4 linked regions of the Yarrowia lipolytica genome follow. The protein of the gene in region 1 purifies or fractionates together with the protein of each later gene. This does not show direct contact. Links are inferred from orthologs where the notes say so. Each region holds a gene or a part of one and is shown on either strand. Other genes may lie near its edges. The genes, in order: YALI1_F30647g, YALI1_C01789g, YALI1_D31186g and YALI1_D35394g.

Region 1 (6,269 bases):
AGATTCGACGAATTCTACAGGAGGATTTCGACGAGGTCTTCAACCGACCCAACGTGCTTTCTGGTAACGAGGGTCAAAAGGCCAACGATGAGCCCGGTGTGGATTTCATCATTGCTCCCACTTCTAACTGTGCGCCTTACCCTCTTTCTAAGCTCAACGACTCTGCTCCCGTTGATACCTACCTCAACGATGTACTCACCGTCCCTGCTTCCCTGACCGGTATTCCTTCCCTCAACATTCCCTGGAAGACCAAGCAGGGCAACGTAGGCATGCAGATCATGGGACAGTACGGTGATGATTTGGGCGTTATGAAGGTCGGTCGACTGCTCCTGGACAAGTGCAAGGAGCTCCACCAGGATTAGTGGATGTATATATAGATTGACTACATGGTAATAGACTCAGAACTGACAACACGGGTGGTGGAGGTGCCTCAGTAAAAGCACGCACAGCGGTCATTACGTGATAAGTGACACAGTCATCGATAATTTAACAATTTCATACTGTAGTCATTAATTAATATAGGTCTATTTGTTTATTCGTGGAAAGCATTGACGATCTCGTCCAGCTGGGCAGTGATGGCGTTGATTATGACATTTCGGTCCCAGGATGCTCGGTGTGCCCATATAATGTCAATGATGGCGGCATAGACCTGCTCAAGCTCCTCGATAGTGAGCTCGCCAGTGTTACCAGCAAGGAAGTCAACCACATCCTGAGCCTTCTTGGTGTCTACAATGAGAGGAGGATCAGGAGTGGGAGGGGGAGAAGGAGAAGCTTCCACAGGAGGTGCAACCTGGACTTCAGCCTCCACGTTCTCTTCCTCAACGACAGTTCCATTGGCGTGTCCGTTGATGGCGGGCTCGGTTCCAATAGTTGCCGTCTCGGTCACCTCTGTGACAACAGGGTCGGGAACAGCACGCTCGACCACAGCAGGTTTAGCGACAACGGGTTCAGCCACTTCGACTTCCTCTGTCTTGTTGTCAACCTTCTCATCTTCGGCGTCAATGTCAGCCATCTCCTCGTCCTTGACCTCCTCGATCATACCCTCGCCGTCGACCTGCATCTGATTGACATCGGGATCTCCGTCGTCACCATCCACTTCTCGCTCTTGTACCTCAGCAGCAAGACGGGCCTCTGCCTCGTATTGTTCAGCGGTCGCCTTGGCTTCCTCAGCCTCCACTCTTTCTTGCTCAATCTTCCACTTCTCCTGAGCCTCAATCTCTCGTTGTCGCATCTTCTTGCAGTCAGCGACGAACTGCTGGTCGATGCTCATCTCCTCAATGGCCACCTGGGCATTGGCAAACATCTCCGATGCCTTGTTTCGTCGCTCGCGGTCGCCCGAGGTGATGGAATCAAGGTAGATGTACTCGATATCCTTGAGGAACTGTTTGAGCTCCGAGTAGTAGCCATTCCAAACCCGATCCTCGATCACATCGAGATCGTAGTTGTAGTACTTCTTGCCAGTGGACACCTGCAAAATCATGTCGTCCTCAGAACGTCTGAAATCATGCAAAGCAGCAGCCTGGGGATCAATCTCAGGCTCGAACAGATGAGCAACATGAATATCGTCAATGGGTGGCTTTCGGAACCGCTTGTACCGATTTTTGAACAGCTCCATCAGTCCACTGAGCTTCACCTTGATGACGTTCTTCAGCTGCATGTCCTTCTTCTGCTGCGTCTTGACATCGGAGGCAGTCAACTCCCTGGGCGGAGGCGGGGGTGCAACGGGCAGAATGGGGAGCTTTCGTCTCTTTCGGGTCGCAGGGTCAGGGTAGTCTGTAGGCTTGGCCACAATGTACTGCTCGATACCCTCAAAATATTTTCGTCGCTCTGACAGTGAGGGCTTTCGAATGGAATATAGGCGAGAAGCAGCTACCCCAAAGAAAGACTTCAAGTCCCCGGGAAGCTCTTCATAAGGCATTTCAGAGATACCCAGAACAAGTAGCTCGGTCTGGCTCTGCGCCTGTCTCATCAGAGTGTAGAAGATGGACAGTGCCTGAGAAGAGAGAGTTGTGGGCCAGAACTCAATGTTAGGAATGTACAGCACCGACTGAGCATGACGTCTGCTTTCAGTGATGATCTGAGCCAGTGTAGCCTCGACAGTTCTACTGCTATCGGCATAGAGAGATCCCAGGTCCAGCTGCTGAATGTGAAACCCCTCCAGATGATGCAAAAGAGCACTGCCAATGTACTGCTGGCCCATACCAGTGTCACCAGAGATGAGCAGCTTGGGTCGGCAGGTTCGCGACTTCTCAAACAGCTTCTGTCGCTGAATTCGTGCAAACCCACCGTCCTCGTCGGGGAACTCTTCAAACAGAGCCTCCTCCAAAGCTGTCAGCTTCTTCTTTCGAGGAACAATCGAGTCCAGACGGTCCTTGAGCTCATCGACGGTGTTCTGAAGCAGAGGGGCCACAGTAGGAGGCAGAGGAGTCGCCCCGGAAGAAGAGGATCGCGCAGAAGAGGGCACAATTTTGTCGACAGCCAACAGAATATCAGCAGCTCGCACATTAATTGTGGCAGGGTCTATCGTGAGCTTGGCATGCGAAGAGTAGATCTGAGGGTATGTTCTCTGAATGGCATTGATTGCAGACTCGGTGCACAGAGTCTTGAGATCGGCTCCTCCGTAACCTTTGGTCAGACCAGCGACATGGTCCACAAACTGCGGTTGCAGAGGGGGGGACCATTTGCTGGTATGGATTCCAATGATGGCCTTTCGCGCCTCCTTGTCAGGCAGAGGGAAATAGAACTCTCGATCGAATCGACCGGGTCGTCGGAGAGCAGGATCTACTGAATCAGGACGGTTGGTAGCTCCAATAACAATCACTTGGCCTCGGTTATCCATACCGTCCATTAATGCCAGAATGGTAGACACAATGGAGGCATGAATCTGCTCCTGCTTGGACGATCGCACAGGGGCAAGACCGTCAATCTCATCGAAGAAGATGATACTGGGCTGCTGATTTTTGGCCTCCTCGAACAGGAGACGCAGTTGCCGTTCAGCCTCGCCAACCCACTTAGACAGACAGTCGGCTCCCTTTCGCATAAAGAAGGTGATATTTCTTCCTTCAGTGGAGCAGGACGCAGCGAGAGCTCTTGCCAGAAGGGTCTTACCGGTTCCTGGTGGACCATGGAACAGTACACCTCGCGGGGGAGTGGTATTGAACCGCTTGAAGATTTCAGGATACATCATGGGCAGCATCACCATTTCCTTTAGCTGGTTGATGTGGTTGTCGAGACCTCCGACGTGGGTGAAGTCAATGTTCATGTCCACTCCCAGAGGATCCGTGTCTGCCACTGCGTTCTTCTTCTTGGCAATGCCAGGAGCTCCCTGGATACCCTTGATCTTTTCGTCATCACTGGAGTCGTCATCGTCGGCTCCACCAACAGCTGTGAGTCCAGGCACGTTGTTTCCAAACAAAGGCATCACGTCGCCTCCGCCGAAGGGTCCCACTGTAGGGATGAGACGTCGAAGAGCATTGTTATTGCCTCGACGTCGTGTGGGAGCAGAAGCACCTGCCTCATCTGCATTGAATGGTTCGTCCACGGTGGGTGGGGGCAGTATTTGGTAGTTGACCGCCTTTCGAGCTCTCAGGGTCTTCTTTCTGATTGGAGGGGGATCGTTTCGTCTCAGTTCTGCCAGCTCAACAGCCAATGACAGACGCTTGTCGTCGTCATCATCGTCGTCAGCAGTAGCAATAGCGATTCGTTCCCGTCGTCCCAGACCTCTGTGTCGGTTCGATCGTCGCACGGGTTGCACCTCTTCATCGTCCTCCACAAAGTTATTGATAGGATCCTCGTCTCTCTCGGAAGCACCAGAATCGTTGGAGCCTTCGTTGTCCGACGAGTTATCACTGGCGCTGTATTCTTCATCGTCGTCGGGGACCTGTGAACGAGCGCGTCTGGGTCGCTTTCCTCCCGTAGCATGGTGTGATCTGCCCTTGCGTCTGCTTCCCTTCTTCTTCCGAGCCCGAGAACCAAAGTTGACATCGTCCGAGTCCGAAGCCGGCGAAGGCGATCCGCCGTCCGAGTCGTCGTTTTTTACTTCAATCTCAAAGTCGGAGTCATCCTCCACTTTTCTGCGTTTTCCAATAGCTGTGTTAGTACCTAATGAGATGTGAGACATGAGACATCGAGTGTGTCGCGAATCTCTGCTGTAGTAATTTGGTCACGTAGTTCACTCACCTCCATTCTCCATCATCTGGGCTAATCGACACCCGATGGCAAGTGTGACTGGAACGGACTTACCATTCTCGCTGCTTGCAGCTCGACCGCGCTTCCGACGAGAGCCCTCTTCTTCGGAATCGGCCTGCGAATCGGCCACTCCCTCGTCTTCGTCAAACGCCAGCTGCGCTTGTAGGCTGGCATTTGCGTTGTCGTCGTCGTCGTCGTCGTTGCTGTCTCTTGTGGGTCGGATATGGTCGTCTTCTTCACTGCTGCTGGGCTCAACGTAGTTTTTGTTGGCGGCAGCCTTCCGGGTGGGTGGGGTCAGGTCAAAGTCATCTTCGCTGGACGACTCCTCGCCTCTTCGGCGCCACACAGTCCGAGGCGTTGACATTGTGTATGGATGGGTGGTGCTGGTGTGTATAAGTAGAGTTTATCTTTGCTGTCTTGTTGTGGCATGTGTGCCCTCTTACGTCACACGAGAGAGAAGTGTGAAATGCACACTATTGTACGAAGATCACCACGCGGAAAGCCGTGGGTGAGAAGAAGGGAGCCATATTGGGGCTCTGGTGGAAGCAAAGAAAAGTCGGAAGTTCAAATCCGTGTTGTTTTCGCCACTCTGGAAACGACTCAGGCATTCTTTTTATGTGCCCTGGCCATTCTCCGTCTGGTTGTACACTCCCCCAGCTTCCTCGTCGCGTCTATAACGCCCTATTTATCGCGACCATTTTGCGTATATCGATTTTCGCAAGTGTCTTTTTTTTTTGGACGTGCCGATGAGCCTGTTTCGTTTTCTGGCTTTCTTTGCCCTCGTCTGTATGCCAATGTTTTTGATAGCTATTAAAAGTCCCAACTCTGTGTTATGCTGACATACACACACCCCATAATACGCATGTCCGTTCGACTCCTGTGCCGTGCAGGTTTATGCTAACCTAATTTCGTCTACATATCCCCGAACCTACTGGAATATCCCTAGAATAAAAAAAAATCAACAGATCAGCAGGCCGATTCTTCTCTCTACAACAAACATGATTGACCACTTTGTCGCGTTTACAAAGGGAGGAATTGTCAAGTGGCAGTACTCCCCTCCCTCAGCATCCAACGTCACACATATTGTCAATGATCTGATATCCGACGTGTTCATCGAAGAGTCCTATCCCGTCCAGGACTCCACCTACACCAAGGACATTTACACGGCCCGATGGGCAGTCGCCAACGAGCAGGGGCTCGTATTTGTGTGCATTTACAAGACTCTTCTTCATCTGCCTTGGGTGGGTCAGCTGGTTACCCAAGCCCGACAACTGTTCCCCCAGTTGGACGATAACGAGTACGAAGCATGGTTCGCTACAAAACTGGCTTCCCTGGAGGCAGAGACGGTCAAGCCGGAGCCCGTGGCAAAGGCAAAGGTCCCTGTGATCGAGAAGATTGAGTCGTCTGTTACTGTTGTCGATACAGACTCTGCAGCCAGCGGAGCATCTACACCTATTGGAGGAGGAAAGACCCGTCGGCGAGGAAAGAAGGGCAAGAAGGACGACTCTACAGCGGAAAAGAAAAAGAAGGGTGTCATGCGAAAATGGGGAGAGGATGGCCAAGCCCTGGATGTCGGTTCTGACGACGACGCGGATCTTGACTTCTCCTCTGGACCCTCAGGAGCTACGGCTGTTGTGGAAGATGTGGATATGACCAACTATGGAGGAGCCAACAAGCAGGGCGATTTTGTGCTCAAACAACTGGGTGACGACGAGCCTCCGATCCCCTCCAAGTCGAGATTCGGTTTCCTGAAGAACATCATGGGCGGTAAGACTATCACACAGGAAGATATGGACAAGGTGACTGCCAAGGTCGAGGAGCAGCTCATGAAGAAGAACGTGGCCAAGGAGGTTGCAGTCCACCTATGTGACCAGGTGTCACGGTCACTAGTCGGCTGCACTACCAATTCGTGGACCACCGTCGAGCAGACCGTGCAGCAGGCCATGGCGGACGCTCTTCGAAAGATTCTGACCCCTTCGGCCTCTCTAGACCTGCTCCACGAGGTCCAGCGGCACAAAAAGCTCGGTGGAGGACGTCCCTATGTTATTTCTGTGGTTGGAGTTAACGGTGTGGGCAAGTCC
Region 2 (6,379 bases), on another chromosome or scaffold:
ACGTTCCGATAGTAGCACACACCAGAAGAGTGTGTGCTTGCTCATTCACCAGAAAGAGATTCTAGATCGGCAGATACACTGCTTACAGGATGGACATCATTGTCTACGACCAAGCTGGTTCCTCTCATGTCTATGTGAGAAATTGACCAGGTTGGTCCGGGGTATCACCTTTAACAAGACTCTCTCAACAATATTCTGACCTGAGTGCGAGAGAAATAGAAAAGATTGAAAAGAATATTCCATAGATTATGTCACATGACAAAACAAGTACTGTAGTAAAACTTGCAAAAAAGGGTGTGTTCTAATCTCTAATTGTCTAGACTAGCTGTGAGGCGCTTTTTCTGAGCGCCCTTGGCAAGAACATACAATGAGACGAATTTCGATAGATACACTGCGAGTGCTTGGTTTCGTTGAGTAGAAGGTAAAGGCGATATTACTACAAGTAGACGTACGGATAGACAGCTTCGCTCCAGCTGTGTAATAAACAAACACATCATATTATACAGCTTAGTGGGACCTTTTTGCCCATTATATATCTTCTAACCCCGGGCAATGTCCAAAAGACGGTCGGCATCCGTAACAACCGGAGAGTTCTCCTCGTTGTAGGTTCGAGCATTCTGGTTCATGAGCTCGAAATCAGCCACAAAATCGTACCGGTTCTGGTACACATTCTGCTTCACCTTCTTCTGGATCACGTCAAGCGCAATCGGATTCTTGATGAGCTTGAAGTAGTCGGGATACAGCTTTTTGGAGGGAATGGACCGGAACAGGTCACACACATGCCGCAGGCCCGCAGACTCATCTTCAGGATCCCAGGGCTCCGTCAGCGCAAAACACTCGTTGAGAGCCAGCTGGCATGACTCGTTGAGCTCCTCCCGGTCAGCCACAGACAAGGTTTCCCGGACCTTGGGGATCTTGTTCTTGTTCTTCTTCTTGGGAGGAGGAGACGCCTCTTCGTCGACAAACTGGTCGTCTCCATCGGCATCGTCAACGATGATATCATCGGCGTCCAGACCGTCATCCAGATCAGTGGGGGCTCGGGACCGTCGGCTTCGGCGTCGCTTCTTGATGGCAGCGTCCAGATCCTCGTCATTGTCCACAATGTTGAGCCACTGCTCCTCTGTGAGGCCGTCGTCGTAGTACACTTCCTTTCGCTCTCGAGCTCCTCGGCCGTACTTGTCCGAGTCGGCCATGTCGTCCTCTCGGAAATGCTCAGACACATCCTGAGTGAACTGGTCCGGCAACTCGGACTCGGAAAGCAGCCGATCGGGTCGTCCTGCGCCCTTGCCATAATCGCTTGTGGCGTTCCGCTCGGCGTCCATCTGGGCGTAGAAAGCCCGCTCCTCCTCGTTTCGAGCCAGCAGGTCGTTGAGCTCCTCATCGTCAAGGTCCTCGTCCTCTGCCTCTCGAGAGCCACGCTTAGACTCCTCCTGCTCCAGCAGCCCTCGCAGGAACGCCTCCTGCTCCTCGGCCGTCGACTTGTTATCGAACTTTCCGGCCTGAATGACCTTTCCGTCGATTTCAAGCTTTGCGTGAGCTCGCTGGAGAATAACCTCCTCAACGGAATCCTCTGTGATCAGACGCAGAATTCGCACCTCCTTGGTTTGACCAATTCGATGTGCTCGATCCTGTGCCTGCAGATCCTGATGAGGGTTCCAATCAGTGTCGTAGATGATAACTGTGTCGGCTGTCTGCAGGTTCAGACCTAGACCACCAGCTCGAGTGGACAGCAGAAAACAGAAATAGGGCGAATCGGGAGCGTTGAAGAGCTTCAGCATCTCGGATCGATCGTCGGCCTTGGTGTTACCATCTAGTCGCAGGTACTGCAAGCCACGGAGCCGCAAATAGTCCTCCATAATGTCCATAATCTGGGTCATTTGGAAGAACATGAGCACCCTATGGTCCCTAGCCTTGAACTTGGGCAGAATTCGGTCCAAAAGCTCAAACTTACCTGCAGAACGCCACAGTAGGTCGTTGTTGCCATGTGATGGGTTCAGAAGAGTCTCGACTTCCTCGTATACATAAGGATGGTTACAAATCTTACGCAGTTGCATAATCTTGTTGTTGAGACCCTTGACTCCGCTCTTGTTGACACCAGCCGCGCCAGAATCGTCACCAACGTACAAAGCGTTGTACTTGAGCATCTGCTGGTACATTTTGAGCTGAAGAGCGCTCATCTTGCACTTGATGACGGTCTCCACCTTGTCGGGGAGATCCTTCTCAACGTCCTTCTTAAGACGTCGCAGCAGGAAGGGACGCAGCACCTTATGAAGACGTCGGATGACCAGCAGCGTCTCTTCTTCCGTGAGCTCCATCTTGTCCTGTGATCCGCTGTTAGCAAACGGCGTGTTGAACCACTCGTCGAACGTCTTAACCGAGTTGAAAATCTTGGGTAGCACAAAGTTGAGCAGCGCCCACAGTTCGGGCAGGTTGTTCTGCAGAGGGGTACCTGTAAGAATGAGTCGGTATCGAGAGTAGTAGAACTGCGTGAGCGTCTGGGCAAGCTTGGATTGGGTGTTTTTCATTCGATGACCTTCGTCAATGATCATATGCACCCACCGGATTCGGCCCAGAAGCGCCTTGTCCTTGATGATGTACTCGTAGGTGGTGAGCAGCACCTGGAAGTCTCCTGCTCGTACCTGGTTGGACAACTCCTTACGCTGGTTGGGCGAACCCTTGAACACAATCTTCTTAACGCTGGGAGCCCACTTTTCAAACTCATTGGTCCAGTTAGTGAGTGTCGAGAGAGGGACAATGACCAGGTAAGGCCGGGTCTGTCTCTTGACTTCAATAAGGTAGGTAATGAGGGAAATGGACTGGATAGTTTTTCCAAGGCCCATTTCGTCGGCCAAGATACCATTCAGAGAGTTGTTATACAGAGACACCATCCACTGCAGACCCTTGAGCTGGTACTCCTTGAGCTGACCCCCAACCAAGATAGAAGGCTGCTTGGAGACTGTCTCCTTGACTCGATGAGCAATATGGTAGTAGTCGATCTTCTCGCGGTCCTCTTCTCCCTCTCCTCCTTCTTCCTCCGCAGCAGGAATGGGCATTTGAGTTCCGGCTTCTCCTTGCTGAGCACGAACGGCAGATGACAGAGAGTCCAAGAACGAATTGGTCTGTCGCAGCAAGTGGGTGATACGTGTATCCTTGGTCTGGTCCAGGAGCTTGAGGTAGGCCTCCTCGTCGTTGGACTTGAGAGCTTGCAGACGCTGCTTGGCAGTTCGCTCGACTCGTCGACTCTCTTCTCGCTCAACGTACGAGTGGAACTGCTGGATGCCCTTGGCCACGGCGTACTGCTTGGTTCGTCGACGATGGGCCTCTTCTCTGATTCGGTCCGACTGGTGGCACACCGAGTTGACGTACGCCATGATTTCCTCCCGCTGCTTGCGTTCACGCTCCATGCGCTGCTGTCGCTCTAGCTGCTCCGTCAGTCGCATCTCGTGCGCGGTCTGCACCTTGGCTCGTCGGTTGAGAGCCCGGTTGATGACCGAGTCGGTCACCTGGGACGTCTGGGCCTTGCAGAAGACTAGATGTTGCCGCAGACTTTTTTGCTTGGTTAGCAGCCGCAGGGCCTTGAGCTCGGCCACAGCTCGTACTTTGAGCGCATCAGTGCCTTCGGCTTTGCCGAGATCATCCCGGGAAGCATCCAACACTCCGAGGTTTGATGGCAGAGACTCGAGCTCCAGAATCCGCTGCGAGATTCGGTTCGTGATGATGAACTCGTGTCGTCCACCGACTCCCCGCCCGTTGTCCACAAACCCGCCTCGGGGGGGCACTCCGCTGTCCTTGAGACGTCGCTGGTAAGGGGTGAGTGACTTTTCAAGTGCTGCGTCAGCCTCCTCTTCGGTGATGTCACTTTCGATGCCTACCGTCTCCATTAGGCGCTCCTGCACGTCGGTGGGCATGTCGAGACCTCGGCTCAGGTATCTGAACGCGTTGACCTGGGTTCGGAGCAGGTCGAGGTCGATCTTGTTGTGGGCGGCTTTTCGGGCGCTGTTGACCTCTGCCAGACGCTTGTTGTACAGCTGCTGCTCCTGGCCCATGGTGTGCAGCCGGGTGACGATGCCCTCGAGTTCGGGTGTCACCGGGTGGTCGGATTGATTAAGAGCATTGAATCGCTGTGTTAGAATGAGAATAGATGGCGGTCAAGCAATAGACTTGCACACTGTGCTGTGTTGAGACACGTGTGTCGTCACGTTATGTGCAACGATACGATACGATACCAATGACCCATGACCCATGACATCGATAATGTCGTGTCGACCCGTCCAACGTCGGCTGTCGTGTCCATAACACAATCACACTCTGACAATGTCACGTGGTGTCGTCACGTCCTCGGTGTCACGTGATGGTGTTCCGTCCGTCGTGTTGGGTCTGTCTCCCCTCCTCTTGTCTTCCTCTTCCTCTGATACTCACCAAAAACAACAACTGGGCCTGCTCCACGCTCTCGGGGGTGGGGATGGAATAATAGTGGGGCTGTTTGGCGGAGCCGTTGAGAGCACCGCCATTGGGTGCTGGCGAATGCCCGTTTTCGAGATCCATCTTGCCAGTGCTGTGTGTGCCGTTGATGATTCGGTTTCGTCGAATACCGCACGGTTCTACACGCTTGATAGTTTCGCTCGACAGCAGTGGGTGAAAGTGTGTGAGGGTCGACCAAAGTCTAATCTGCTCCCACCCACGGTTTCGGACCACGTTTTACGCGGCGCGGTATGGATGTTGCCGGTTCGACTCCGCTTTGGGTGAGTATGCTTGGAAAGTTTGGCTGGAATGAAGGTGCACCAGTCAGAAGGAAGATGTCGAAATAGCGGGTTGTGGCTGGCAGACACGGCCGAAATATTTACTCAGACGGTCCGCATGGTGTTAAAATGTCCTGTTGCACTGCTTTGACTTACTTGGGGGGAGGACAGAGTAGGTCCAGTACAGTATGTACGTTAAAACAGTGCTCTTGTAGACTAATTACTGAAGGGCCTTCATCTTTCAGCTGAAGTGGAACATACAGCACCTCGTTAAGGAACGTTCATACTTTCTCGTTTGACACTACACAGGTGCCCGGGGGCCTCAATGGGGTCTAAGCCAACTTCTCAATCAGTCACGTGACGCATCCCCGTCCTATATCGCCCATACCTATGCTGCTCTGTCATGTATCCCACTGTCACATTTGCATGCATAACCAGGATCTTTATCTGCATCTAAATTGAATCTTCTTCACACAGTTCACTCCAACAACAATGCCTCGACCCCGACGAGAAATGACGCCTGACGAGGAGTACTCTCGCAAACTGTCGTACATCTTGCGACACGGCGCCACCAAGGAAAAGCTGCCCATTCGAGAAGACGGATACTTGTCTGTAGGTGTGCTGCTCAATAGAGCTGGAATCAAGGGGAAATGGAACCTGGAAGACACCAAGCGGGTTGTGCGAGATAACGACAAACAGAGATACAAGCTCATCTTTGAGCCCACAGAAAAACAGCCCAAAGAACCCACAGACCCCAACGATTGCACGGGATACTGGATCAGAGCTAACCAGGGACACACTATCAACACCAAGGTCGAGATGAAGGCTCTCAAGACCCCCGAGGACTTCCCCACTCTTGAGATCTTCCACGCCACCTCGAAACAGGTGCTTCCCATTGTACTTAAGGAAGGATTGTCCAAGATGAAACGTCAACATATCCATTTGGCTACCGATCTAGTCACCGAAGGAGGCTCTGTGGCTGGAAAGCGACTTAACAGAGAGGTGTTCATTTACATCAATGTTCCCAAGGCTCTGGAGGCCGGAATCGAATTCTTCCTGTCTGAAAATGGTGTTGTCTTGACTGAGGGTAAGGATGGAAAGATCTCTCGAGAGTTCTTCAGTAAGATTCTGGACAAGAATAACCAGCCGGTTGACTTGGAGGCGTTGGCATAGGTGCATATAGCAGCATTAAAAACATACTGTATTCGATAATATACGTTACAGTCCATGCTTGTACTTGCAATTGGTACCTTACCTCACGTTACATTGTGTTGCATCTCTTAGTAACCAATATATATGCTGCTGAGGTATTATCACGGGACCGTAGACTATGTCCCCTGTTAATTCACCTTTTAAGATATCTTCAACGTCTTTAAAACTTCTCCTCCTATCTACAGCCTACAGTATACATACTCCAGGACTGTGTCCAACTGTGGCATCCGTGCGGCTCGGAAATGCACAGAAAATATATCCTTCGACATGCATGATACAATTTCATCCATCACCAACCACACAACCGCCATGAACAGCAACATGAAAAAGGCGCCTCCTACGGCGAGCAAAACGCATCTCAGTAGTAAACTGAACAACATGAAGGTGAGTATCACGTGAGGAGAGTGTCGGACTGATCTGGAGATGAT
Region 3 (6,815 bases), on another chromosome or scaffold:
TAGATCTGTCAATTTCTTTTTAGCGAGACGTTTATGGAGTGTGGCACGAAAGAGTGGGCATTTGGGTGGCTGTGGGAGACTAGCTGGATTTTTCGAAGGACAAAAATTGCTTGTGAGCCACAGATAAGCAGATTATAGCTGAAATTCTGGGGATCGGATCTATACTGGGAGAGTTAGAGCCAGATGTAATAAGTCAACTAATGAGGGACGTATTTACTTAGAATTTGGGGAAATACTAAATAGAAACATTTGAGAGTGGTAATAAGAAAATATAGATTGGTTTATATGGGAGAATTAAAAAGTAGAATTTCATACTTTTTTTTCTAATTGAGAATCGAAGGAGTTGACAACGATATGTACAGACTTGATGTCTTCCTGACTAAAAAAACTATTTAATTAATTTAATAGATACGAGAATTAAAATACAATATCCAATAGCTACAATACCAGTCTCTGACACTACATTACCACCATCCACCATAATCACAAACAATAAATTACTTTCTCAAAAAGTGACCATCATGGTCGCCCGACCTTACTCATCATCATCATTGAACATGGACACATCTTCTTCATCATCGACAATATCCAGGTCCGAATCATCCGAATCGACGTACACAGACTTCTTGGGGGCGGCGGCACGTCGAGGTCGAGCCGACGACGCTCTAGACGACGCTCTAGACGACGCGGAAGACGCCACCTCGGCCACCTCATCGTCTGACAAATTCATGTCTTCATCCGAGTCGTCAAAAATGGACTTCTTCTTGGGGGCAGTCTTCTTGGGAGCGGCCTTAGGAGCAGCTCTGGGAGCAGCCTTCTTGGGGGCGGCCTTCTTGACCGGTTTGGCCACATCCTGCACCTCCTCAATGGACCCTCCCATGTCCAAATCGTCATCATCGTCAGACAGCGATCCAAACAGCGACACCCGCTTCTTCTTGGGTATCTCAAACTCAGAATCGAGCTTGCCGGATCCAAATTGAAGCCTGCCACCGGCAGCTCCCAGACGGTTGATCTTGGTGGGAGAAGACTTGACGGGAGAGTCGCCAAAGATGGAAGTGGAACCAAGTGAGCCAAACGTATTCTTGAACTTGGGAGAGGTGGCGGTGTCGGACAAACGGGGCTTGGTCTTGGAAATTCCTGGCTCCTTCTTGACCTTGACATCATCCAAATCCACCACCTCGGGCTCAACCGACGCTGAAGACGACTTGGCACGTGACTTGGCCGCTGCCGTCTTGGGCTTAGCAGCAGTCTTGGCCTTCTTGCCAACAATAAAATCCTCATCGTCGTCATCTCCAGCCTTCTTCTTGGCTGCCCGCTTCCGCTTCGTGGCGCCCTTCTTACCAGTATAGTTGTCCAGCTTCTGCTGCTTCTCCACGTCCTGCTCCTCAAACTTCTCATAAGCCTCCATGAACACGTCCAGGTCGTCCATCCAGATGTCCTTGGCGGACTTTTTCAGCAGCTCAATCAGCTCCTCCTCCTTTCCGTCCCGCTCCCGCAGCAGCTTCTCGTACCGCTCCTTGGTCAGAGACCACAGCGCCATGCCCAGAAGATAGTCGTATCCGTTGGTGGGGATCTTGCCGTGAATTTCCTCGGCCTCGGCCAGATCTTCAGCAACCTCATCCGAGGGCGCCTCCTCGTCCTCGGCAATGGCGGCTTTGGCGTCAGATGCGAGCCGCTCGCCGTTCTTGCCGTACCGCGGGAACTTGAGCTCAGAGAGCTCTGCAATCAGCACCTTTCGGCCCTTGTTGTTGATGTTGAGCTTCTTGTCGATGATGAGCTTGATGAACCGCGCCTGGGCCGTCAGCTTCTCGAGCTGCTGCTCAAAGTCAGAAACCAGCCGGTCCTTTCGTTTCTGGTAAAACTCCAGCCGCACCGGAAAGTACTCCTTCATGATCGCCTCAGGGGAGTCGTACTTTTTGATCCGGCCCTCAGGGTCGAACGCCACCATGTTAGAGGTTGATAGCGACGAAATCAGCTTAAACCGCTCTCTCAGGCCAATCTGACGTGTCTTCTCCATCTCCTTCTCCGACAATGTAATGTTGAACTTGACTCGGAAACCGTGGTCCTCAGTAAAATCCTCAATCCAGCCCTTTTCGTTCTTGGAGTCAATCAGCGAACTCAGCAAAAACTCCTTCATGGAAATGGTCCACATTCGAGCAGGCAACTCTGTGATACAGAGCGTGCGCTCGTCAACCTGCTCAATCAAACCCTTGACCTTGTACCGGCCGTCTCCCACAGGCTCCACCTCGCCATGCCATCCTCGGAACCAGGGGATCATGGGTACGGGAGGTTCATCCTTCAACATGCGTCTCAAATTGTCGACAATGTCAAGTGGGTTGTAAGGAGGAATACTGGTGGACCATCCAGAACCAATTCCTTCACAGCCGTTCACAAGCAACATTGGCAGAACAGGAAGATAATACTCTGGCTCGACCGGAGTATCGTCGTCAGTGACGTAGTTGTACAGCGGCTCATCCTGCTTGTTGAAAATCGCCTTGGTGATGTCCATCAACTCCGTCTGGGCGTATCGCATCGCGGCGGCATCCTTACCTCCCTGAGATCGCGATCCAAATCCTCCATCGGGCTTCATCAGGTAGATATTGTTGCTACCGGCAAAATCCTGGGCCATGGCCATGATAGTGCTTCCCAAAGAAGCCTCACCATGATGGTACCCGGTGTGTTCGGAAATATATCCCACGAGCTGCGCCACTCGGATGGACACGGTGAACTTTCGCTTGAACGAACCAAACAGAACTTTACGTTGTCCAGGCTTGAATCCATCACAAACAGAAGCAATGGAACGCATGTTATCGGCCATAGAGAAGAGAATCAGCTCCTTGTTGATGAAATCCGACACGGGAATGTGCGTCAACTTTGGATCAAGGTGAGTACCCGGCTTGTACTTGCGCAACCACTCCTTTCGGTCATCGGCCTTCTTCTTGGAAAACGCCAGCTCGATGAACGGCCGATCCTCCGCAGTCACCGCGTGGAACTGCTTCATGTGACGATCCAGGTCCTTGAAATACTCTGTGGCGTCTGCAGTGGGCGTGGTACCCAGACCCTTGAAGTACTTGCTCGTCCACGTGCACTGCTGGCCTTCAAAGTCCCTCCACGCCTCGTACTCGGGCATGTTGTAGAAGGGGATTGTCTTGACCACCTTCTTGCCCCGCATCACCATCACCTTAACAATCGGAGTGATGAACTCGAGCAGGAACCCGGGGATCTGAAGCAGACCAGGGAACATAGTTTCCAAGAAGTTGATGATCAGACCCTTGATGTGGGAACCATCATGATCCTGATCGGTCATGATCATCAGATGCCCGTATCGCAGGTCCTTGCAGCTCGTGTAGTGCTTCTTGTGCTGCAGACCGATGATCTCCTTGATAGCCTGGATCTCGGCGTTCTTCATGATCTGGTCCGTGGACGCCTCTCGCACGTTGAGCATCTTACCACGCAGAGGAAAGGCGCCATATCGTTCTCGACCAATCACAGACAGTCCAGCGTTCGCCATGGTCATGGCGGAGTCTCCCTCAGTGAGAATGAGCGTGCACTCATGGCCACGCTTAGTTCCAGCGAGCTGGGCGTCTTCCAGCTTCACCAACGTGGTGATTCGCTTCTTCTTGGAGGATCCGTCAGTCTTCTTGAGAGCTGCATCTGCGTTCCGGCCGGCAATGCTCAGCACCCGCTCCATAATGTCGGTGTTGTTGGTCACCTGCTTGATAAACTTGTCGGACAGCTCGCACTTAGAGCCAAAGGCAGACACCTTTGTGGTCATCTGCTCCTTGGTCTGTGAAGTGAAGGCCGGGTTCTCAATCAGACAGTTGATGAAAATGAACATGTTGGCCTTGAGCTGGGCGGGCTTAACCTGCGCGTCCTTGAGCTTCTTTTTGGCGGTGGCGGTAAGCTTGGCTACCAGCTGGTCGGCAATGTAGTTGACGTGTGTGCCTCCAGAGGTGGTGGCGATCGAGTTGACGAAGGACACGTTCTGGTACGTGCCGTCGGAGACCGCGAACGCGACTTCCCACCGATCATTGACAATTTCATGCACGATTTTCGACTTTTGCACAACCTCATTGTCCTCGTCGGCCACCAGACTCTTCAAATATAAGTCGACGTACGCCTTGAAATCCTTCAAAGCCAGTCTAGTGCCATTGAGCTTCACCTTGACACCGTGGGTGGTACCGGCAATGTCGTAGACACGTCGCATCAACACGCCCACCGTGTCAGCGTCCAACTCGGTCATATTGAACAGCTTGAGATCTGGCTTGAAGGTGACCTTGGTGTACTCCTTCTTGGTTTTAAGCTCCTTGATCTTCGGCTTGTCCACTTTGGACATGTTGTTGGACCAAGTCTGGGTGTAAATCTTGCCGTTCTTCTGGTCGGCCGTCTCCAGCTTGAACTCGGTCGAGAAGATGTTACACAACTTGGCACCAAAACCGTTTCGGCCACCAACCACCTTTTTCTCATTGTCGTTGTAGTTTGAGGAAGTCAAAAGGTTGCCGAAAATCAGTTCGGGAATGTAAATCTTCTCCTTGTCGTGGATCTCAACGGGAATACCCTTACCGTTGTTCATGACCGAGATTTCGTTCTTGTCGGCATCGATTGTGACTTCAAGACTGTCCATTTTCGGGTCTCGGATCTTGTTGTCGGCGGCGTTGACCAGAATCTCGTCAAAGATCTTGTACAGACCGGGCACGATGGTGACCATCTTGTGTTCGAGGGCGGACGTTGTCTGGTTCCACACCCACATGGGGGAGGCCGTAGCTTCCACCGAGCCAATGTACGTGTCTGGACGCTTGAGAATATGTTCCAGCTGGGTGAGCTTCTGGTACTGCTCGGAGGCGGAGCCCTTTTTGCCCTTGGGGGTGCCTTTGGGAGAGGGCACTGGCGCATTGTCGTTGGCAACCTCCTGGAGGGGTTTGGCCTTGGACTTGGGAGCAGCCTTGGGCTTGGCGGCAGCCTTGGCGGGTTTCTTCTTGGGTTCATCGTCACTCAGGGCGAAATCCGACTCGGAGTGATCGTCGGAGATGACTAAAGAATCGTCGTCGTCGGAGAACATGGTGGGTTTCGGCTTAGACTTGCCGCGAGGACGAGGAGGGGTGTTTTCGTCGGAGGCGAAGGAAGAGAAGAGGGTGGATTGTTTGGCCATCTGGGTTAGGAGCTGAACGGAGCGAAGATGTAGGTTGAATGATGCGAGCGGCGATAGTGACCACAAAGGTGGCGAGGAAGATCTGGGTCCGAATGTGTTACAGTCAGAGCGAGCAGAAAAGCTCTAGATCGGGGCAGCGCGTGCAATATCACTGGTGTGCGCCATTGGCGGTGTCTCACCAGGAGAGCTGCCACCGCAGATGTGAGCTGAGCTCTCAGGAGAGACACAGAACCACACTTGACAAACCAGAAAACAACCGCACTGCCAGGAACCAGCACCACACTTCATGGATCTGCTACGGTGGCAAATGTCACCTCATGGTCGAGATCTAAAGCACCAAAGCATTGATCTGAACGAGCAGCAAGTTGGACGTGTGTGCGGTCGTGTCATATGGCGCCCCAAATAGCCACAGCTCGCTGCAAATTGTGTCGAAGACTCTCCACATAGTGACTATACCAGCCTTGTTGTGGTCACCACATGGTCCATCTAGTCACCACATGAAGAGTCGCGTGAGAACGATGCTCTCCAAAACCGCCTCCCCGCATCGATTGACGTTAGTAGGCCTCGCCTACCACTGCGCATTCCATAGCGTCTGGCGCCTTGCTTCAAATACTCACCTCTCGTGGAATTCTCTGTTCAGTCGTCCGAAAAAAGTTGTGTGTAGAGAAACAGAAAAGTATTTGGTAGTCGTGAAAGACAAGTGTGGGAGACGCGTATTTTAGAGTTTGTGAAATAACATTGGGCGGTTGCCATGGTAACGGTCAACGTGAAGAATTGATAATGGTAAATTTATAAGAAATGAAAATAAAAAAAAAATAAATAGAAATAAATAGAATAAATAGAAATAAATAGAAATAAATAGAAATAAATAGAAATAAATAGAAATAAATAGAAATAAATAGAAGTAAATAGAAATAAATAGTCATAAAACTGCAAGTGATTGAAACAGATATTGTGGTGCTTCTGGTGTGATTGGAAAAGAATTTTTCCCTATTTTTCAGCTTCCCTTTATCCAACAGCCACATAATGTACTGTCTGTATATCACTTAGTTGACTTTACTTACTTGGGAATTGTTGAGAAAAAAGTTTCTGGGGGAATCTATCTGGGATTCCAGGAATATTAGAGATATAAAATAGGGACCAAACGATAGCGTATACTCGGTTTAATAACAATATTTCAATAGAATCATCTTGTGTAATATTGATATTTCAAACAGGCGACATTTCCATTTCTCAATACAAGTATAATCTGTGGATAATTAGTTGAGAGATACTTGATACAAAAAAAACAACAAAAAACAAACAAAAAAACAACAAAAAACCACAAAAAAACCACAAAAAAACCCATCCGACATCTTCATGGGGCCAATTGCTCTGGAATTTTCAGGAAATACCCAAATAATACTGCAGAAACTCTTTTGTCAAAGACGGATTACGTACAATCGATCACTCAAATGATCTCAAGTCTTTGCTAGAATCAGGTATAATTTTTTTTACTGTTATATTACTGACATACATCTAACGCGTCGACCACAACTGTAGAATCGTGAATATACAAAAAGATATCGCTTAGGCAGAAATGGCATCATGTAGAAGAAGTCATGACGACCATTCTGATACCACTCTCGACTCGTCTAGCCTTACGTAAGCGAAGTTGAGATGATGG
Region 4 (3,728 bases), on another chromosome or scaffold:
TTGCCATGGGTGCTGACGTTCCTCTATAACGGAGTTGATCACTTTTATTATAATATATGAATGAGTAACAACGAGATATAGCTACGAGTAGTACCGTAGCGTGATTCGTATACAGAGATGACAGTGGAGCTCATGGCTGTACAAAAGCGTTGTGCGCTTCCTTAAACCAGTTATTTCGACATTAAATGCTCCTTACACACATCCACTTCTTAACATACGTATTAGTCTAGTTACAGCATTGTAATAGAGCCAACTTGAGAAGCGTGTAGAATCAACTACTTAATTTACATACAACTACAAGTACGTACAAGTACAAGTACATACAGTACAGTATGTACTTGTGATGCTACCCGTCGATCTTGACCTATTCTAGCTGACAGCATTTAGATTGTTTCACACCCCGGAAAATTACTAAACATACATTATCCTAACTAATACAGGTCCTGGCAGCCCGTGCCAGGAGTCACGCCATGGCGTCTCCCCCAAATATCACCGTTCTATCTCACCCATCTACCGCTTAGCCCGTCGGGTCTTGGGACCAGAAGGTAGACGTCCGACGGAAGAAATGGGCTTTGGAGGTTCAGGGGCCGGCAAAACACCCAGATAGTTTGTTTTGAGAGCAGGGATGTTAGTGGAAGGCTTGATCTTGGAGTTAGCAATGTCGATGCCCTCGGTGGATTGCAGCAGCCGTCCCAACACACCCTCGATTTTCATTGCAAGCCGTCGCTCCTCAAACGACACTGGTGGAGGTATGTCAGGTGTGGCCAAACGGTCTGCCTGGAGTTGTTGCAGTTGGAGCATGAGTCTGCTGACAAACTCGAGCTCGGTGCCAGTTTTGATGGCTTCGAACTCGTCGTCGTCAATGAAGTTTCGAGGGTGCCATTGGAGAATGTCTTCCATGGGCAGATCCTTGGAGGGGTCGACATCTTCATCTCTAAACAGAGGCTGGAGGTCTTCCTCTTCCTCTCCCTGTCCCCCCTTCTCCTCTTCCTCTTCCTGTCCCTCCACCTTAGCCTCAGTCGCGTCATTCATCTCCACGTCGTTAGTATCCTCCTTTTTGGTGTCGTTCTTTCCAAGAGCGTCGTCGATGGCGCTTTCTCGCAGTCGCCCAACCTTCTCGTACCACAGAGCTCCGGTTGAAGCGGGGTCGTAGACGGCCTTACCACTGTCGCTAGTGGGGGCAAAGGACGAGTTTGCGTCCATCCGCAGGAACCGGCTGGGCGCCAACTCGGAGCCGTTGGGGTGCACAAAGTGCGTCATCATCTCTGTCGGAGGCAGGGCTGGGTGTGGAAGTCGCGACACGGCAGGTGTGAGGTAGCCCAGTTGGTAGGCCGGAACCGACCGGGTACGTGGCAGTACGTTGGTTACCTGGAACGCGCCCGGGGTTATACTTGGGCGCGGGTCGATGGCCGATTTGGTGGACAACGTCGAAAACAGAGGTCCATTCTGGCCCATGACCAGAAACGATTCTGCGCTCCACGACTCCAAGTCCGCAGTCAAGTCGGCGTAGTCGGCCACGATTTCCTCCTCGAACTCCGTCACGTCCTCGGGTACCACATCCTCGGGGTCCTTGCCTCCAAACAGGTCCATCCGCGAGCCTTCTCGGATGATGAGGGCTGCGGCAAACTTGAAGAACCGGTCCACCTCCAGATACTTCTCCGAGCCAATTGGCAGCGCCACCAGAGCCTGGACGGCTGCGGTCTTGACGTCCACGTACAAGTTGCGCACCGAATCATACGCCTTCTCGGATACCGAGGTCAGATCAGCAACGTTGTGTTGGGCATAGCTTGCAAGCACCGACAGGTTTGTGGACTGAGGCGACACCTGGGGCACTGCCTTTGTGGAGAGCACAGTCTTTCCGACGGCGTCGGCTAGCAACACGTCCAAAATGTCTTGTATGAGCGACATGTTGTCTTTGTGTTGGTGTCTGGGTTCGATGAGATGTGTGGTGATTTTTGTTCGACGTGATGAACGTTCCGACGTGTGGGTGTTGACTAGAGTATGACAGAAACCATACTCCAAAAATTAGCTTCGTCATGTGACCCAGCCAAGAGACAGCGGTGTATGAGATGGCGGAGAAGAAGTGGAGTGGCTATATTAATTTCTGTAAATTTGTTTCGACGGCGAATAATCCACTTAGAATTGCTTTCAAATCTTTAAACCTATTCTAATGCCGCCTTGTATCGACGTCCTGCTTCTTCCGTTGTATGGCAAGCATGCATACAACACTCATCTCTTCATACTCTTATCTAGTACGGGTACGAGTACACATCTCAGCACACCATGGACGACTCGGACGACGACTACATTGAAAACATTAGTGGAGACGAGTACCAGGGTGCCCCTCGGCGGTCGCGACGAAACCAGGCCCCCAAGGGCGCCGGAGGCTCGGTGGAGAACATGAAGATGGCCAATGGAGGATACTCATGGGAAGACGAATACCATAGATCTTGGGACGTCGTGCAAGAGGACGAGGGAGGATCGCTGGCAGGCTCGGTGGCGGGTCTTGTGGAAGCAAGAAAGAAACGACACATCAAGGATGCAACTCCGTTCCAGAGAGGTATCATTCGAAACCTGATTTTGGTGCTCGACTTTTCGTTTGCCATGAAAGAGTCCGATCTCAGACCAAACAGGTACCAATTTGTCATTAACCATGCCATTGAATTCGTAACCAACTTCTTCGACCAGAATCCCATTTCTCAGCTCGGAATTCTGGGCATGAGAAACGGACAGGCAATCAGCATATCGACATTGGGCAGTAACCCCAACGACCACATTAACGCCCTGACGGCAGCCAAAAAGCTCGAGCCTCAAGGTGATCCATCTCTTCAAAATGCTCTTGAAATGGCTCGAGGTCTGCTTTTCCATGTGCCTTCTCATTGCACTAAGGAGGTACTGGTTGTTCTGGGTGCCTTGTTGTCGGCTGACCCAGGAGATATCCACGTAACCATCGACAAGCTCGTTATTGACAAGGTCCGAGCCCGAGTCATTGGTCTGGCGGCGCAGGTGGCGATCTGCAAGGAACTGTGTGTCAAAACCAACTTTGGAGACGCTTCATACTATGGTGTCGTGCTGAACGAACAGCATTTCCAGGAGCTCATGGACGAGGCTACTACACCCTTGGCAGAGTCACAACAAAGCCAGAGCGCCAATCCAGCATCCCTGGTGCTCATGGGATTTCCTTCAAAGGTTTCAGAAGCAGCTCCCTCTCTTTCGGCCTCCGATGCAGCTCTCACACAAGGTGGATACGTCTGTCCGCAATGTAAGGTCAAGGTGTCTTCACTCCCCACAGTCTGCCCCTGCTGTGGTCTCACACTTATTCTGTCCACCCATCTGGCCAGATCGTATCACCATCTTTTCCCCCTGGCTCCATTTATTGAAGTCCCCTGCAAGAACGCACACAAGTCTGAATTCTGTGCAGGCTGTCAATCCAAGTTCCCAGTGGTGGCAAGAGATGCAAAAAACATCCAAGCCGATGGCTCCATGACGTCACGGTATGAGTGTCCCACCTGCCACTCTCATTTTTGCATCGACTGTGACGTCTTCTGCCACGAAATTCTACACAACTGCATTGGCTGCCAGGCACGCAGCTACTCTCTCTACCAGGTGGTGGTCACCAAACACAAGGATGCAGCTCCTTCTCTTAAGCTGGTGATGAAGCGGCCCGATCCAGACGGAGAGGAGAGCTCTAGACCAGTCAAGGTGAGGGTAGTTAATGATAACGAGGG

Evidence for each region.
Region 2: the proteins of YALI1_F30647g (region 1) and YALI1_C01789g purify together in Saccharomyces cerevisiae (affinity purification with mass spectrometry; 3 studies listed by BioGRID). This does not show direct contact. The link is inferred for Yarrowia lipolytica from reciprocal best matches to the Saccharomyces cerevisiae genes YTA7 and STH1.
Region 3: the proteins of YALI1_F30647g (region 1) and YALI1_D31186g purify together in Saccharomyces cerevisiae (affinity purification with mass spectrometry, with the first as the bait; 3 studies listed by BioGRID). This does not show direct contact. The link is inferred for Yarrowia lipolytica from reciprocal best matches to the Saccharomyces cerevisiae genes YTA7 and TOP2.
Region 4: the proteins of YALI1_F30647g (region 1) and YALI1_D35394g purify together in Saccharomyces cerevisiae (affinity purification with mass spectrometry, with the first as the bait; 3 studies listed by BioGRID). This does not show direct contact. The link is inferred for Yarrowia lipolytica from reciprocal best matches to the Saccharomyces cerevisiae genes YTA7 and RSC58.

The regions. Positions count from the first base shown.
Region 1 is NC_090775.1:3,063,040-3,069,308, reverse strand, and holds YALI1_F30647g (uncharacterized protein), read right to left. Parts: upstream 4,553-6,269; coding exon 4,180-4,552; intron 4,090-4,179; coding exon 533-4,089; downstream 1-532. Other genes in the region: YALI1_F30703g (uncharacterized protein), read left to right, coding at 1-362; YALI1_F30641g (uncharacterized protein), read left to right, coding at 5,187-6,269. UniProt on the Saccharomyces cerevisiae protein: Functions as an ATP-dependent nucleosome disassembly factor that helps evict canonical histone H3 from the 5'-end of genes upon their induction.
Region 2 is NC_090772.1:174,806-181,184, forward strand, and holds YALI1_C01789g (uncharacterized protein), read right to left. Parts: upstream 4,546-6,379; coding exon 4,420-4,545; intron 4,122-4,419; coding exon 540-4,121; downstream 1-539. Other genes in the region: YALI1_C01800g (uncharacterized protein), read left to right, coding at 5,232-5,912; YALI1_C01810g (uncharacterized protein), read left to right, coding at 6,219-6,335. UniProt on the Saccharomyces cerevisiae protein: Catalytic component of the chromatin structure-remodeling complex (RSC), which is involved in transcription regulation and nucleosome positioning. RSC is responsible for the transfer of a histone octamer from a nucleosome core particle to naked DNA.
Region 3 is NC_090773.1:3,116,948-3,123,762, reverse strand, and holds YALI1_D31186g (uncharacterized protein), read right to left. Parts: upstream 5,150-6,815; coding exon 536-5,149; downstream 1-535. UniProt on the Saccharomyces cerevisiae protein: Control of topological states of DNA by transient breakage and subsequent rejoining of DNA strands. Topoisomerase II makes double-strand breaks. Essential during mitosis and meiosis for proper segregation of daughter chromosomes.
Region 4 is NC_090773.1:3,537,470-3,541,197, forward strand, and holds YALI1_D35394g (uncharacterized protein), read right to left. Parts: upstream 1,909-3,728; coding exon 511-1,908; downstream 1-510. Other genes in the region: YALI1_D35356g (uncharacterized protein), read left to right, coding at 1-29; YALI1_D35398g (uncharacterized protein), read left to right, coding at 2,284-3,728. UniProt on the Saccharomyces cerevisiae protein: Component of the chromatin structure-remodeling complex (RSC), which is involved in transcription regulation and nucleosome positioning. RSC is responsible for the transfer of a histone octamer from a nucleosome core particle to naked DNA.